Mus musculus: one gene and its partner. The main gene of each other region encodes a partner of the protein of the gene in region 2 in a complex. Links are inferred from orthologs where the notes say so. Each region holds a gene or a part of one and is shown on either strand. Other genes may lie near its edges.

The links. Proteins that work in one complex are often made in the same cells at the same time.
Region 1: Ddx5 (region 2) and Srsf1 share a complex: the UniProt entries of both Homo sapiens proteins name them as parts of the ribonucleoprotein complex. The link is inferred for Mus musculus from reciprocal best matches to the Homo sapiens genes DDX5 and SRSF1.

The regions. Positions count from the first base shown.
Region 1 is NC_000077.6:88,045,903-88,050,405, reverse strand, and holds the start of Srsf1 (serine/arginine-rich splicing factor 1), read right to left. Parts: upstream 3,034-4,503; 5' UTR 2,568-3,033; coding exon 2,374-2,567; intron 1,917-2,373; coding exon 1,732-1,916; intron 1,364-1,731; coding exon 1,191-1,363; coding exon of another isoform or gene 1,137-1,190; exon of another isoform or gene 995-1,136; coding exon 800-994; 3' UTR 1-799. UniProt on the Homo sapiens protein: Plays a role in preventing exon skipping, ensuring the accuracy of splicing and regulating alternative splicing.
Region 2 is NC_000077.6:106,785,683-106,790,108, forward strand, and holds the start of Ddx5 (probable ATP-dependent RNA helicase DDX5), read right to left. Parts: upstream 2,813-4,426; 5' UTR 2,635-2,812; coding exon 2,591-2,634; intron 1,393-2,590; coding exon 1,227-1,392; intron 863-1,226; coding exon 766-862; intron 678-765; coding exon 544-677; intron 451-543; coding exon 385-450; intron 1-384. Other genes in the region: Cep95 (centrosomal protein of 95 kDa), read left to right, coding at 3,677-3,695. UniProt on the Homo sapiens protein: Involved in the alternative regulation of pre-mRNA splicing; its RNA helicase activity is necessary for increasing tau exon 10 inclusion and occurs in a RBM4-dependent manner. Binds to the tau pre-mRNA in the stem-loop region downstream of exon 10.

The DNA of each region.
Region 1 (4,503 bases), about 19 Mb from region 2:
CCTGTACCCACATGTACACCAACAGCAGGCCACACATTAACAGTTGTAACTAAGCACTGTGACAAATTAGCCATTCTTCCCACATTAGTCCCTATTAAAACAAAAAGGGGGGAAGGGAGCAAATAATTGTTACAAAATGGGCAATTCTACCACAATTGCCAAGGTTTTAAAAAGCAAAGCAATTGTAGCTGAAGATAACTGCATTAAGTGTTTGCAAATCTTTTAAGGTAGATAAATTTTTAACCCTCGCCTTCTAGTATAAGGTCAATACTGCCAATTTCATCTGTGACAATAGCACTTGGAGTCATACCATTGCCTCCATTATTGATCTGATCCTCCTCAATCCTCCTTTTGACAATCCTAAAATGATTGAAATGTGCTCCACAATCCTTAATCCAAAGCATTCTTAATCCATCTCTTCAGATATGTCTACAGAAAGACACATGAAAAGCAAGATAAACATAAGAACTTCCCCCAAGTAAGATAACCACAAACACCCCCAACATCCCATTTCACACAAACCAGAGCAGAATAGACATTTACATAATATCACAGTCTGAAGAGCATGGAAATTAACTAAATTTAAACAATCCTGTCTATGACATCACTTAAAATACAAGTTACCAAAGACATGAGGGGAATGTAGATGTTAGGAGCAAGGGGATATTACACAAGAATGCAATTCAACACTTTAGCCCATTCTGAACAAAACAGCTTGAATTAAAAAAATGAAAAGATTGTACTGAGTAAAGGAAAACTGTATACAACATGGGTTCTACAAAAAGTGTCACCAATCATCTTATGTACGAGAGCGAGATCTGCTATGACGGGGAGAATAGCGTGGTGATCCTCTGCTTCTCCTTGGGGAGTAACTGCGACTCCTGCTGTTGCTTCTGCTACGGCTTCTGCTACGACTACGGCTTCGAGATCGAGATCTTCCATAACTTGGACTTCTGGGCCCATCAACTTTAACCCGGATGTAGGCAGTTTCTCCCTATTGGATAGACAGAACTTTCCATTGAAAGATCTAAGCTTTCACCTGTCTTCAGACAAGCTGAACGAATACAAAGACAGATCAGGGCTCTGGTAATTTACGTGAACACCCTTGCCTGTATCCTTACCTTCAAATTCCACTGTTAAGAAAACTGTATCCAATTCTGGCCAAAAAAAAGAATAAGTGTATAACCTACCTCGTGAGATCTAAACTTAGTGTTATCCAGTTTTCGAACTGCATACGTCATATCTTCTTTCCGTACAAACTCCACGACACCAGTGCCATCTCGGTAAACATCAGCGTAACATACATCACCTGCCTCACGCATGTGATCCTTTAAGTCCTGCCAGCTTCCACTCGGAGGCAGTCCTGAAAAAGCGATTCCCCCTAATTTAATACTACTCATCCTGTCCCACGGCAAACGTGTAAAGTACATTCGAACAAGGATTATTTTAAAATACTTAATGATTGTACTTAAGTGTTTCCAGGTAAAGAGCTGGTAAGAGTCAGATCCAGAGTCCAAATTTATTTGTAAAGGATCTTCATAGGCTAGTACTGCAACCTAATTTGGGTAAATCACCACCACAGTAATCTTTATTTACTAAATTCATCCCAAAGACCGAAGTAGTCCAAGACCCCGTGTGTAAAACAAAACAAAAACAACAATAACAAAAACCTTGCAGTACTCAAAGCAGTCATGCGGGAAAAAGATTTTAACCCGCACGAAGTCAACTCACCAGAGACAACCACTCTGTTCTCGGACCGCCTGGACGGCGGGCCATAGCGGCCTCTCGGGGCGCCGCCGCCTCCACCCCCGCCGCCGCCTCGGCCGGTCCCGCGGCCGCTTCGGGGAAACTCTACCCGCAGCCGGTAGCCGTCGTAGTCGTAGCCGTCGCGACCGTACACCGCATCTTCCGCGTCTCTGCGTGTGATCACAGAAAGCGAAAGGGGGGGGTGATGAGGGGAGGGAGCCGCCGGACCCAGCTCGTTCGCCCGCTCCGGGGGTGAAAAGCCGCGGCCACAGCGCACATGCGCACCCACGGGGCCACACGGAGCCCCACATGCGCCGCATAATAGGGCCGGCCCTTCCCCCACCCAGCACCACGCCGGGCAGAGGCTCCCGACCACCTCGCCGGCCCTCAGCGCCTCGGTTTCCCGCTCCGGGGGCTGCGCATGGGCTCGGGGGGTAGGGGGGACGTCCGAGGCGGCCGGCCACCGGAGACAACGCGCCGCCTCTCGGCTCTCCTGACTCGACTCCTGCAGGGGCGATAGCGCCTCGGAGCCCCTCCTCTCCCCCCATTATGTTCCAAGGCCTCCGAGCCTTCCCCAACTCCTCCACGCTATCTCCTCAAGGCCGCGCACGCCCCACGCTGCCTCACCGCGGGTCCTCGAACTCAACGAAGGCGAAGGGCGGTCCCCCGCGGCGGTTCTTCAGGTCGATGTCGCGGATGGCGCCGTATTTGTAAAACACGTCCTCGATGTCCTTGGTTCGGATATCCGGAGGTAGGTTACCCACGTAGATGCGGCAGTCGTTGTTCCCCGCCGGGCCACGGATCACACCACCTCCCGACATGGCGGCGGCGGCGACGACGAAAAGCGCGGACTCGGGGGGGGGGAAGGAAAAAAAAAAAAAGAGGCCTTCCTACCAAGCCTAGCGTACGGCAGAGCGAGCCCTCAGCGGCACCACGTCTCCCGCGGCCGCTCCAAAATGGCGCCTTTATCAGCTCGGCGCACTGATACCGGGGGGGAGGGGGAGGAAGAGAAGCCGGAGGAAGCGGCTCGTCCCTCCCAGTGCGCAGGCGCACGCCTCTAACGGGTGCTGAGAAGCACGCTCGCGCACGCGCGACGTCACCCTCCGCACGGAGGGGAAAAAGTCCCTCGCGTCCTGGCGGGTTGACTGGCTGCTGGAACGTCCAGGCGTTTAGTAAAAATCACATGCTCTGGTTAAAGCGGTTATTATTAATCCCCACTGAGTCCAGAATCGTCGGCCACCTCGGGGGTAGACCCTCTCTGAAAGCAGCTCGGCGCTCTAAAAAGATTGGGTGAAACCTATCTTGCAAGCGTGTCCCACCATGCTCCGCGGTGGTAACGGCCTTTGGCGGGAAAGGCGCCGCGGGGCGGAGATAGATGACGCTGAGCTGTTGCTCCGGAAACCTGGGCATCTTCTGCACTTCGGTGCCGCCGGCGGGAGTTGCAGGTGATTTCATTTAAAAGCCGAAGCGGAGCAGTGTGGCTTCTGCCTCTGGGAACCTGCGGTGGGCTGCATCTTAGTTAAAGTGTCTAGACGGATCCTCCATATCTATCTAAATGAAAACTGTGCCTTGAGTTTTCCTCTTCCTCCTTTCTAAGGATGAAAAAGGAAGAGTGATAAAACAGTTTAACTGCAGAGCCGAGATCCCGGTTCTGTGCTGGTCTAGGGAGATTATTTATTTATTTGTTTATTTTGCCAAGATTATCTGCAAAAGGATTCTTGCATTGGATACCACAATTTTGCTTCTTTGTTTTGTAATAACGGGAATAGAAGAGCCTTACGTGTGAAATCATACGGCCTTGTAGTGTTGTTAATGAACTCGAATTATAATAAAAGCAAACCAATCTGGACTTAAGCTTGTGTGCCTGAAATCCTATCACTCCGGAAGCTGAGGCAAGGAGGGTCCAGCCTACCCTGTTATACACAGTTCTAGTAAAGGTTATCCCGGAGCCAGGCAGTGGTGGCGCATGCCTTTAATCCCAGCGCTCGGGAGGCAGAGGCAGGCGGATTTCAGAGTTCGAGGCCAGCCTGGTCTACTGAGTGAGTTCCAGGACAGCCAGGGCTATACAGAGAAGCCCTGTCTCGAAAAACCAAAGGGGAGGCGGGGGGAAAGGTTAGCCCGGGACATTCAGGGAAACCCTTTCTATTAAAAATATTGAAAAACAAAACGTTTTCTTGGTGTTGTTTTTGTTTTGGGGTTGTTTTGTTTGAGACACGATTTCTCTGTGTACCCCTGGCTGTCCTGGAGTTCCTGCCTTCTGAGTGCTGGGATCAAAGTCACTACCTCCCAGCTAAAACCAGAGCCTTTCATGATTGGATAGAGACAGCCAGGCGTAGTGGTAAATGCCTCTTGAAGTTTTTGGGAAGCGGAATTTCAGGGTTCAAGGCCAGCCAGAGCTGTGTCGACCCTATCACTAATAAATATGCTAAGTCGGATCCCCACAGGTTCTAAGGGTGATTCTTTATACTGTAATTTTTAGTTTTTAATTTTTATGTTATGCATATTGTGTCTTGGGGTGGTGGGTCATGCCATGGCCCATGTGTGAAAGTCAGAAAATAAGGTGCAGTTCACCACTCATGCCATGTGAGCCCCCGAGATGAAACGTCAGGCTTGGGAGGAGCACCTTAACCAGATGAGTCACTGAGTCATTGCTGCCCCTGGATGTTATCATTTATTTACAACAGTCCAAGGATGTGGGGCTGCTTAAAATGAAACCATTAAATATTAAGACTGGCTGGAGAAATCAAGGACAGTGAG
Region 2 (4,426 bases):
GGCACTATTCTCAGGATAAAATTTTTGTGTGTGGAAGCACATGGAGAAACCAGAAGGCAACTTTTGCAAGTTGGTCTCTCCTTGTGGTAGTTGATCTTGATCAGGCTCATGACAAGTATCTATAATTGGCTGATCCAACTAACTGTCTTTGGATACTAATTTTTTCCCCCCGAGATAGGGTTTCTTTGTGTAGCTCTGGCTGTCCTGGAACTCAGAAATCCACCTGCCTCTGCCTCCCCAGTGCTGTGATTAAAGGTGTGTGCCACCACGCCTGGGCTGGATACTAATTTTAAGTGGCTAGTTTATACTGGCAACCCTATATTCCCTATATGAAAGTCAAAGGAGTTTTAGCAAATATGGTGGGAAACTTAAGATAATACTTACAATAGGCCCATCACCTCTCTCTAGGAATGGCTGGTGGTTTATGTGTACAATGGCAGGCAGCAAATACTATTGAAGAGTAAAAATAATAGAAATTGGATTAAAATAGTTATATATCTAAGGTCACCTCTGCCACAATTTATCAAGTTTTCCTAGACTTACAGATAATGTTTTCCCAGATCCAGTCTGAGCTACTCCAACCATATCCAATCCACTGAGAGCAACTGGCCAGCCCTGAGCTTGAATAGCAGTGGGTTCAGTAAAGTTCTGCCTTGCAATCACATCCATGACATTCGCTGCAACCAACAATACCATTTTAAAAACAAATTTATAAGCAAGGGGGGGGGGGGAAATGAAAGGATAAAGATGAAAGTTAGTCCTTACCAGGAAAGTTTGCTTCATAAAAATTCAGAACAGGTTTTGGACAGTTGTGACCTCTAACTGTAATTTCCTTGCTTCTTCTGTATGTATCTACCTCTTGCTGAAAAACAAATTATCTCAGCCTCAGACTTCTGCCATGCTCCCTATAGCTCAATAAACTTTTAAACATACTTATTTCTAAAAATCTGGACCCATAAATAAGAACTCTACTTGGCAACAAAAATTAATAATTAATTTATAATACTTATTTAAATGAAAATTGAGTCTCTATGAAGCCCAATAGACTGCTAAACCTGTTTCCCCAGTGACAGGATTAAAATAGGGCACCATATATCACAAGAAAAATTCAATGGAAGTGCACCACAAGCAACTCTCCATTTGCAAGGCACCTATTACATTTCCATCTAATTGACTAGAAGCAGTTACTGAGTTACAGCATGAAGAAGCCACATTTATAAACTCACTGCGGTGCGCCTTGCCAAATCAGGGTGTTCTTGATAAAAATTCTTCTCAAATTTGGGCAGCTCATCAAGATTCCACTTCTTTTTAACTAGTTTCTCCCCAGGATTTCCAAACTTCTTTCCAGAGAGGGGTCCTGTTCTACTCCCTCCAAATCGAGGTGCACCAAACCTACACACACACAAAACAAAAGTTGGGCACATTGTGAAAGATACTGCATGAACAGGTTTGCCCTCACATTTCATCTGCTGCCTTTTGATAGAGCCAAAGTGTGCTTCTGGAATCCTTCCCAACTGTCATTCTAAGGACAGCCACAACTGGCAGCGTTTCTTTTCTGAAGTCCCAAGCACACTCTACTGAGGCCAAATAAACATCGTGGGTTTATCAGGTGGCAAACAGCCCAAACATCTGACCAGATTACAAGGACAAGAGTTAGAGCCTCCATCTTCTCTCCCCACAGAGCTTAGGCATTAGCGTCTAGGAGCTGGGCAAGAAGGGAGGAGCTTAGGAAGGTTATTTTTGCCCGTTTTCATCAAAGGACCTAATCTTAAAGAAATAACGGGGCCGCAAAGGCAATGTGAGCAGCTGAACGAGGCTAGCACGGCGGACAGGGTAGAAAGGGGAACAGGCGCCAGCGAGCCGAGTCTAGGGAAACGCCGCGAACGGCTGCAAACCAAGGTAACAAAATTATATAACGCGAGGGAGAAAAAGAGGAGGAGCCGAAAGCAACCGGGGGAGGAGTCCCGGCCCGGGCGGCGTTCCCGCTGGGGCGGCGCTTCCTTCTTTGTCTCGCATTTCTCTCTGCGCCACATTTTCTCGCCGCTGCCATTTTGAGCTCCTCCGCCGGGCGGGGTAACAAAGGCGCCGCCGCCATGTCCGAGGCCGGCATTTTGTGGCTGCGGCTCCGCCACATGGCCGAATCCGCCGGCGTAGGCCACCCAACGGGGCACAGGGGACCTCGAAAGCGCCCCTTCTTTCCCCCGGGGATACCGGAAGGGGGGGCCCCCCTCAAAAAACAACCCAACGAAAGATTGCGCAAACGACGCCGGGAACCGCCTCAAAGGCGCGGCGCTTCCCGACCGAAAACACTCCTCCGGGTTTCCCTCAACAGCCGCGAGGTCGCCGGGCCGCCCCGGGTCCCGGCCCACCCTCCCGGACCAAAAAAAAAAAAAAAAAAAAAAAAAAAAAGGTTGAACGCCATTACCCGAAGCGTAGCCTTTAACGGCTTTTAACCGGACGTGTGACAAAAGCCAGGCCTCCTTTCAGGAAGGGAAAAAAAAAAATCTAAAGGTCGGTTGGGAAGGCGAGCCTTCGGCCGCGCCGCTCTCCCATCCCCCACCCGGCCTGACAGGTCTCTTGTCACACTCACCCTCGATCCCGGCCGCGGTCTCGGTCACTAGAATAACTCGACATGGCGTCAATGGTGGCGGTGTGCGGGCGGAACCCAGTGAAAGTAGAATCCTGCGGCGACGAGTCGCGGAGAGAAGGCCTCGGCGACGGCGAAGCCTCTGCGGGGGCGTCACCAGCGGAGGGGCCGGTGGTGTCGAGGGCCGGAGCTGCGAGGGCAAGGACCGATGGAAATGAATGAGGTGCCGGCTGCGTCCCGGCAGCCGCTTTTATAGTCTGGACCGCCTCCTCGCCGCAAAGCACGCTGGGAGCCGCTCTATGACCTAATCACCCCGCCCCCCTGGCTCGGAGGCCCTCAACGCCCGCCCGCCCGGGTTCCGGAATCCGCCATGTTCTCGCCCCTCCCCCTCCGCGGGCGGGCGCTCCCTCCCCGGCGCCCGTTTATTACTCGCTTCACGACTGGGTGACACCACTAGAATGCCTCGCCCCGACGCCCTTTTGGCGACACCGCCGTCTCTCGTCTCGCTACACCTCAGACAAGCTGCTTCCCCGTGGCCAGACGGTCCTTAAAATGGCCAGCGCCAGCCATTCCACCGACTCTACTTGAAGATGTTTACGTCTCCACAGACTCCCCCCACGCCCATAACCGAAGGAGACCAGGGAGGCGGAGCTTGGCCTCATCACGTGATCGGACCCAGGGCAAGGCGGATCGCACTACTTCCTCGCTTGGTCTCTCGGCGGAGGAACACCAAACCACCAACTCACCGGAAGCGCGGCTCCAACGCCCCCGGGGAGATCGGCCGGGCTGCTGGGTGACCTGGCTGCCCTGCCCGCCGATCTGAGAACCCGTAAGCGGGATCTTGACCGCGGGGAATGGTATCTGGAGCCCGCAAACTGCCGCCTCAGCGCGTGCTGCGAGGAAGTGCTCCTCTGCTGTCCAATCAGCGTCGAGAAGCCGTTTTAACGTCCCTCCCTCTTCCACCCCTCCTTCCCCGCTCGCTAGTGTCTGCCCCCTCCTCCTCCCGTCGGCTCGACCGAGTTCGACCCTTCTGGGACACCGTCGCCCGCGCTCTCGTCTTGGAGTCCGGCCGCGACCTCTCCTGGCAGTATGGCCAGCTCAGAGGCTGGTGAGTCTCGGCCTGGAGCCCTGGTGGTTTTGTACTGCAGCATTCCGCGGACCTTGGGCTGAATCTGAACCGCGTCTGCGCCGCTGCGGAGGCTCGGGACTGTCGGACACTAGTTGCAGTCGCGCGCGCGGTGGGGGGGGGGGTTCTATGAATTTAGGGTCTCAGCCTCGAAACCTCTTGCGGTTTCCAGACGTGGAACTGAGACTTGGGATGAGATAGGAACTCTTTGTCGAGCCTGGGACACCCGCATCCTGTCTATATAGAGCAGTCAAGATCCTTTCTTGGATCCGAATTTTTGTGGGGTATCTATCCACAGACTGTCTCTCTTTCCCCTTGCTTTGTTTGGACTAAGGCAGAACTTATCTTTATATTGATTTTTTTTTCCTTTTTGAGGCATAGCACTCATAAGTTCTTTTGATGCCCTCTAGAGTAACTGGCATTTTCTAGTACTGCCTTTGAAAAGCCAATTGATTCGGTTGTCTAGGACGCTTTCCTCTCTTTCCAAAATGGTTGTCATGGCTTGGTCAGCTGTGCGACATAGGCATCGGGAAGAGGGCATACTGGGCATGACATATTCAGACTATTGTCTCCAGAGCGTGTGTCAGTACTGGAAATGTGGCCAGTTCCAGTCATTTCAAGATTCAGGGGTTTCAAGTTTTGGAATTATTGCTGAAATCCTTAACCTTAGTCCTGCACTATCTAGGGAAGGGCAAGAGCTGGTTTTGGAAAAC